Linked DNA regions of Oryzias latipes. The protein of the gene in region 2 interacts with the protein of the main gene of each other region in a pairwise test. Links are inferred from orthologs where the notes say so. Each region holds a gene or a part of one and is shown on either strand. Other genes may lie near its edges.

Region 1 (4,066 bases), on a different chromosome or scaffold from region 2:
AAATGTTAAAAATTGTATTTAGGAGATTCATACTTTGGTGCAACAACTCTTCTCAGGCATAATAGTTAAATGGTGGTTTTAAACGCCATGCTCTGGTTGTACCCACAAAAAATGTGGCAAATCTTCTGTACCTATAAGAAAAATCTTCTATCGCATCTTTTTTTTTTTTTGGTGCCTCCCGGTGCTGCCAGACAGCTGAGAGCATGGACTCTCCTACAGGGGTCAGTGTCTGCTCCAAGCATCAGATAGGTGCCTCATGATCAGCATGACACTTTTCACTACTACTGATTGGAATGTTCGTGTGCTGCAGACTGACTTCCAACTGTTGTGCTGCCAAACCATGTTGCAGTGTTTGGAATCACACCTGTCTGCACCCTTTAATGCTTTAATGTCCAAAACCAAGCAGGAGCCGTAACGTCCCACTTTAATGTTTAGATAACTACTGTGTGACTATTAAACCATTCATTGATCAAATGTATTTTAACATTATTTATATAATGTTTCAGGTATTAATATTGACAGAATCATACCAGTCCTATATTTTTCTAAAGATAACTTTTGACAGCAGAAAAGCAAGTTCTTTTCAAAATAAAATACATCCTGTATCAACTGAGGTCCTCTTGCTGCTGTTGCAGTTTTACTTGCAACTATATACGTTTAAGAACTGTAGGACAGCTGAAGATAAGAATATATGATTTAAATTTATTAAATAAAAAAACAGTTCTAACGGTAGATTAAACCTTTAAGCATCATTTTGCCAATATTTATCTGACGTTTGCATCTTGGAGGAGTGGTCAAGCTCCCAAAGCCTCTTTGTAGTTTCATGACAGCAATAGTTTAAAAATAAGACAGTTTTCTATGCTAATTTAAAATTTTGAGAGTGCCAATAAACCCATTTATTGCTAAATGCTAAAAAGAACTTAATATACAGATTACATTAAAATCTCTTTTTTAAAAAGGTGTATAGATATATATTTTTTTTACTTCAAGCACATTTTGAAGACAAATATTTCCGAAAAAGACTCACTTAAGTTGCAGAGCATAAAACTGTGCCACTGAACTTTTGATTGTTACGTTTTTAAGTTGATGAAACGGTCGGTGGTCACGAAAATGAGGGACAAAGCGTCACATGTTGATCCTCCTGCATGTGATCCGCAGAGAAAAGCTGTTATGCCTACTCACGCCACCAGGTGGTGCCAGATTTCGGTATGGGCTTGTGACGTAGAGTATGTGCGACGTTTTTTATAGCCAGAACGTCAATTTTGTGAGACAAAGCTGTCTTAGCATTATGGCGTCCGGAGGAGAAGAGGTGTCCGGTGGAGTAGACGCAGAACTGGACGAGTTACTGGACAGTAAGTTCGTCAGGAAGGAATATTAGGTTCACCCTTTTACGTGTCTGTCTGTTGCTAGGAAGATTTCGCTGCTTGGACACTTCTGATGACCGTGTATAAGCTTCAGGTGCTCGGTAGCAGTGACAGTTACCAAAGTATCGCTGACTGACAGCTCGCACGGGCTTCAAAATAAAGCCAGTTTAAGCCGTTTTCAAATGTTTTTGGATATTAATTGTTTAAAAAAAAGTGGATTATAGAGATATAGTTTATAGAAAATGTTAAAGAGGTGTTGTTATTTTTTCAATATTACAATATTGTCAAAATTTTCAGGAACATTTTATTGTTGTTTTTTTCCTTGTTGATTTATAAATACTTCTAATATGTCATCTGTGGTTGCTTTGTGTTACTTTTATAGTTTTGTCTTCTGCTGTATTCTTAAATGTTATTGTTCAGGTCTAGTTTTAAAATAGAAATTATTGACAAATAAGATAGATAGATATCTTAACTTATACTAGGGATGTAAAAGAAAGATACAGATGTTCATCAAAAAGGGATCAAGCACAGAGAATCGCAGTAGAATTGGTTGAAAAACCACAGATACAAACAAGTGTGGGTAAAAATGTGTTAAACTGTTCAGGAAGTTATAAATTCTTCTGATAACCATTTTTCTCACATCACATAAAACAATACATGAATAAATTAATATGACACCTTTTTATTTAAGAAACGAAGCAGCCTACAATGCAGGTTTAAATATTCATTGAATGAATAATAAATATTCAGATTGTATTTGTTTAGTCAAAAGAATTGGACTTTATCCTGTCGCCACAAAGTTAGTTGAACCTTTTATGCATCGATTCATGGACCAAATATTGAGATGCGTCTACTTACTTATCATTTTGTCAGCTTGACCTCTTCACTGCTGCTGCATTTTATGTTTATTATCTGATCAAAAGTAAAACAGACTGACCATCCAAACAGAAACTAAACAATTACTGAGCTGAAAGTATTGCTTTTTTTTTTAAGGCAATCGATCAAATATTTCATATATTGCTTGGATAATAAATGCCTACTGCTGTGTCTTTTTCCTTTAGGCGCTTTGGATGACTTTGACAAAGCCTCCTCTCCTCCGGCCCCTGAAGCTGCAGCAGCCTCTTCCTCAGCCAGCAGTGGTGCAGAGAAGGTCTGTGTCTGCTTCTGTTCATTAGGATTCAGCTGCCTTCTGCTTGGACTGAAAGACCCCATCAATAGTACGATCTTCACAAGTCTTCCATTTCTGCCTGTAGCCCCCCCTGCTTGAGGACTGCAAACTCTTTGAGAGTCTCTTTGAGGGGGACATGGCGACCCAGGCCAGGGACGAGTGGGAGAAGGCCATGTCCGAGCTGGCCCAGGAGGAGCCAGAACTGCTGCAGCACTTCCAGAAACTGTCAGAGGCAGCAGGCAAAGTCGGTAAGAGGAGTTATTTGTTGTGAATCTTTGTTATACTGAATGTGTCGGTCTTGCAGTCTAAGTTGCGTGTTTGCTCCAAACAGGGACAGACACAGCTTCCCAGCAGGAGTTCACTTCCTGTCTGAAGGATACCCTCCGTGGCCTGGCGAAGAATGCAGACAACCTCCAAGTTGGCTCCTTAGACGTAAAGGAATATTGGTGTAAAGCTTTTGAAGGAAAATAATGACAATTGTTTTGTTTTACCCAGTCTTCAGGTCTAGCTGGAGATGACCTGGTTAAGGCTCTTGAGGGTCTTGGGTTGGATGAGGGTGGGGAAGGGGGTGGAGACGATGGGAACATCCTCCCCGTCATGCAGTCCATCATGCAGAACCTGCTCTCTAAAGAAGTGCTGTATCCTTCTCTCAAAGAAATCACCACTAAGGTCTGCAGATGTTTCCTCTGAACCCATCAGACTCTGAATCCACTCTTCCAGCTTTGACCGTTGACGTCTCACCTTCACAGTACCCAGAGTGGCTGCAAGCAAACAAGCCCAGCTTAAGTGCAGAGGACTACCGCCGCTACGAACAGCAATCCAAAGTCATGGGAGATATCTGCAAGCTCTTTGAGGCCGAGGAACAGGGAGTAGAAAACAAAGAGAGAACTTTTGAGAGCATCATGGACCGGATGCAGCAGGTGATGCAGCTTTTTTCTTTTGGGACAATATTTACAATTGATTTGTTTATTTAAATTTGCTTTTTATGTTTTCTGTTTTGACATCATCCACATTATTCTGAATCATAGTAAAAGTCACAACACATCACTTTTTCGACGATCCAGCTGCAGGATGTCCATCATTTATGGATGTGATGGTTGCAAAGCTCTTTTAATATCTTTAGGGACTGTTGATGGCTAAACTGTTTCCCTGTAAAACTGATTTTAAAAAGGTCACTGAACACACACTGTTATTGCCGTTACGGCTAACAAGCAGCATTTAAAAGTTTAGATATTGTAAGCTCAAAAAATACCCTTCAAACACAAATTTCCCAGTTATTATCTTCTTACAGAGATAATAACTACATTATAATTATATTATAATTTATACTATAAATTAAGTTATTAATGTAAGCTTATTAAAAATGCGCCTTTAAGCATATCCATGGACAAAAAATGTTGTGTTTATTAGTTCAAACATGCAAGGTTTTTGGTTTTTTGGACAGGAACTCAACTGTTTTGTGTTTAATTATCTCCTTATAGCTGCAGGATCTAGGCCAGCCACCCAAGGAATTGGCAGGAGATGTGGTAAGTTT
Region 2 (4,282 bases):
TTTGTATGTACAGCCCGCGACCGGAAGGGCGTTCAGGACGCGGAAGCTCGAAATTCTGATCTGCACCATTGACTGTAGACCGGGAGGAGCCGGCGCACGCCAGAGATGTCTGCAACACTTACAGTTAACGGGATCCAGAAGGAATGAGACCTGAAGAATTTAAAGACAGGATCGGGGCGCGACAACCCGAGTCAGTTCAGCAATCTGATGGAGGGGAAATGATCACTGGGTTCACCAGCTGCAATAGTTAAACCCATGTTCATAAAAACATTTTTTCTATGGGACCTTCAGACACGGATTCAGAGCAGGAATCAGGAACAGCCAATTCTGGCTTTTTGTGCTCGAATAGAGCTTACCTGTACAGGCTTACTAAGGACAGGTAAGGCACAGGTAAAGGTACCTGTACCTGAGGTAGACATAAGCCGAGCCTTAGCAGTACCATACATGACGCCAACCTCAGAGGACTGATAGCGGCACTATCACCTCGAGTCAAAAACAAAACAATCATTGTTGACCAATCGACTGCTGAATGAATCGATAGAGACGGCCTCTAGTTGGAGGGAACCCTGTTCCCAGAAGACTCCGTCTGACAGGAAACTCATGAGAGGAACGCAGGAAGCTACAACCTCAGAACCAGAAGAACCAGAGCTGGGTCGGTTCTAGAGGTCCAAGACAAACACCGAAACTCTGAGAGAACGTTCCTGAACACAATAATGGTTTGAACAGTTTGAAAGAACTTTTGCTTCAATGGATACAATTATTTAATAAACATTGTTAGATATAAATTATTGTTTTAATATTAAAAAGCAGAAGCAAAAGCAAATAAACGCAGTTAGTTACATCAAGAAATCTGATTAAAACATCTAAATATAAAAGGGAGTACACACACGCACGCACGCACGCACACACCCACCCACCCACACCCATACACACACACACAGTAAACCAGCAAGTCTAACTTGGGTAAACCATCAGGTGCAACCCGAAAAAATCAGCAGGTGTAACTGTAACCCGGGTAAAGGTGTATCCGAGTAAATTAGCAGGTTAACCCGGGTAAATTAGCAGGTGTAAGTAACCCGAGTAAACCATCAGGTGTAACCCGGGCAAATCATCAGATGTAGCCCGGGTAAGTCAGCAGGTGTAGCCCGGGTAAATCAGCAGGTTTGACCCGGTGCGGCTGTCATTGATTCCGCTCGATCATCATGTTGTCGTTGGTTGAGCTAGCGCGGCTCCTTAACCCCTCGCGCGGGTTTCATGGTCGCTTTATGATCGCATCTTTAGGACACATTTGGTAATAAATTCATGTCCAACCGACAGTCAGAGGATCTAAACCGCCTACCTGAGTCTCCTGAGCTCGACATGATGAACACAGAGCTAACCGGCAGATGCTGATGCAACAAGAACGTGCCCGGAAGCAGACGGAACCGGAACTAATGCAAGCGGACCTGTTAGCGAGGGGGACGCTAAAGACTGACGGCCCACAACAAGCGGAAGTTTGTTTACATGAGAAAAAGTGGGCTCGAGGCCACAGAAGCGGCTCCTCTCTGCTCCGATCGCCCGGTCAGGAGAATGTCTTGCATGAAGGACTACGTGGACAGAGTGAGCCGCGTTTATGAGCGCTACACGGAGTACGTGAGGAGGAACCCCGCGGCCACGGCGCAGCTGGAGAACACCGTCCGGACTCTGTCCTACCTGATCGCAGGTGAGCCGCGGCTCAGCAGCAGCTTCCGCGGTACCCTTCAATGACCGAGCTGCTTCTAAAGGACACTTTTATTCCGAATCCGCAGGTCGATTTGCTGATTGTCATGAAATATCGGAATTAGGTGAGTTGCTTAGTGCAAAAAAGTCTGCACGTGTGCGCATGCGCGTTGAATGTTTTTTTATTTTGAGGATTTGAGTGAATTCTGTTTTATTACAATGATGAAGGTCTGAAGAAAACTGCTCACATTTAAAAGCTCAGGAAAAAAAACTGTATGTGGATTCAGGAAATGTTTCAGAGAAAAGAAAAAGTCTCCCTGCAGAAAAGCTGCAATTCAAAAATAGCGAGTATATTTGCAAAATAATCGCATTATTTATTTATAATTAGATCACAGTCATTGTAATACATTATTTAAATGTGTGAAACAGCTGATATTGTACTATAGCTTGTAGTTATTTTTTGTTTTGATTTAGTTTAATCTAATGTCTTAGCTAATTAACTAAAACTGTAATCTGAAACAAAGTTGAATAAACGAGCATTTACTGATAAAACTGCAGTATTTTTTAGTGTCCAAATAGAAGGAAGAACAATGACAGACACAGCTGGAAGTGTCTACAGGGCTGAAAAAGTGTCACAAATATCAAAGCTCTGAAAAATGCTTTAGCTGAACGTTTATTCTTCACTAGGAAAGAGTTTGTAAAGAATACATTCTATTTAAGTTTGTACACTACATTCAGTTGTATAAATAAAATCTCCAAAAACGGCAAAAGTAAAAGTACGATAAAAGAACCTCCTGAATGTTTGGGAACCAGAGCTGAAAGCTGCTTCTGGAAAACGTTTATGTTTCTGTTCAGAAACACAGAAGAAGATCTGAAATAAAAATCCCACAAAGAACAGAACATGTTAGCTTTATGACACCAGCAGGGATGGATGGATGATGGATGGATGCATGGATGGATGATGGATGGATGGATGATGGATGGATGCATGGATGGATGATGATGGATGGATGCATGGATGGATGGATGATGGATGGATGGATGGATGATGGATGGATGGATGGATGATGGATGGATGCATGGATGGATGGATGATGGATGGATGGATGGATGATAGATGGATGGATGATAGATGGATGGTGGATGGATGAAGGAAGAAGGTTGGATGATGGATGGGTGAAGGATGGATGGATCATGGATGGATGGATGGATGGATGGAGGATGGATGGATGGATGATGGATGGATGCATGGATGGATGGATGGATGGATGATGGATGGATGGATGGATGATAGATGGATGGATGATAGATGGATGGTGGATGGATGAAGGATGAAGGTTGGATGATGGATGGGTGAAGGATGGATGGATGATGGATGGATGGATGGATGGAGGATGGATGGATGGATGCATGGATGGATGGATGGATGATGGATGGATTGATGGATGGATGGATGATAGATGGATCATGGATGGATGAAGGATGAAGGTTGGAGGTTGGATGGGAGAAGGATGGATGGATGATGGATGGATGGATGGATGGATGATATATGGATGATGGTTAGATGGATGGATGATAGATGGATGGATGATAGATGGATGGTGGATGGATGGATGATGGAGGATGGATGGATGCATGGATGGATGGATGAAGGATGAAAGTTGGATGATGGATGGATGGGTGAAGGATGTAAGTTGGATGATGGAGGGATGGATGAAGGATGATGGATGGATGATTGATGGATGATGGATGGATGGATGAAGGTGGATGGATGGATGATGGATGGATGGATGATAGATGGATGATGGAGGGATCGATGATGGATGATGGAGGGATGGATGATGGATGGATGATGATCGATGGATGACAGATGGATGATGGAGGGATGGATGATGGATAGATGGTGGATGGATGGATGGATGGATGATAGATGGATGGTGGATGGATGAAGGATGAAGGTTGGATGATGGATGGGTGAAGGATGGATGGATGATAGATGGATTGATGGATGGATGGAAGATGGATGGATGCATGGATGGATGGATGGATGGAAGATGGATGGATGCATGGATGGATGGATGGATTGATGAATGGATGGATGATAGATGGATGGATGATAAATGGATCGTGGATGGATGAAGGGTGAAGGTTGGAGGTTGGATGGGTGAAGGATGGATGGATGATGATGGATAGATGGATGGATGATAGATGGATGGATGATAGATGGATGGATGATGGAGGATGGATGGATGCATGGATGGATGATGGATGGATGATAGATGGATGGATGAAGGATGAAAGTTGGATGATGGATGGATGGATGGATGCATGGATGAAAGTTGGATGATGGAGGGATGGATGAAGGATGATGGATGGATGGATGGATAATGGATGATGGATGATAGATGGATGATGGATGGATGGATGGATGGATGGATGATGGATGGATGATGGATGGATGATGGATGGATGGATGAAGGTGGATGGATGGATGATGGATGGATGGATGATAGATGGATGATGGAGGGATCGATGATGGATGATGGAGGGATGGATGATGGATGGATGATGATGGATGGATGAT

The links.
Region 1: the proteins of pex16 (region 2) and pex19 interact in binary tests that used the Homo sapiens proteins (3 or more experiments, as listed by UniProt). The link is inferred for Oryzias latipes from reciprocal best matches to the Homo sapiens genes PEX16 and PEX19.

Annotation. Positions count from the first base shown.
Region 1 is NC_019875.2:3,245,580-3,249,645, reverse strand, and holds the start of pex19 (peroxisomal biogenesis factor 19), read left to right. Parts: upstream 1-1,260; 5' UTR 1,261-1,288; coding exon 1,289-1,352; intron 1,353-2,425; coding exon 2,426-2,514; intron 2,515-2,617; coding exon 2,618-2,780; intron 2,781-2,863; coding exon 2,864-2,964; intron 2,965-3,027; coding exon 3,028-3,201; intron 3,202-3,281; coding exon 3,282-3,452; intron 3,453-4,013; coding exon 4,014-4,058; intron 4,059-4,066. UniProt on the Homo sapiens protein: Necessary for early peroxisomal biogenesis. Acts both as a cytosolic chaperone and as an import receptor for peroxisomal membrane proteins (PMPs).
Region 2 is NC_019861.2:661,547-665,828, forward strand, and holds the start of pex16 (peroxisomal biogenesis factor 16), read left to right. Parts: upstream 1-1,476; 5' UTR 1,477-1,503; coding exon 1,504-1,702; intron 1,703-1,787; coding exon 1,788-1,823; intron 1,824-4,282. Other genes in the region: cars (cysteine--tRNA ligase, cytoplasmic), read right to left, coding at 1,340-1,361. UniProt on the Homo sapiens protein: Required for peroxisome membrane biogenesis. May play a role in early stages of peroxisome assembly. Can recruit other peroxisomal proteins, such as PEX3 and PMP34, to de novo peroxisomes derived from the endoplasmic reticulum (ER).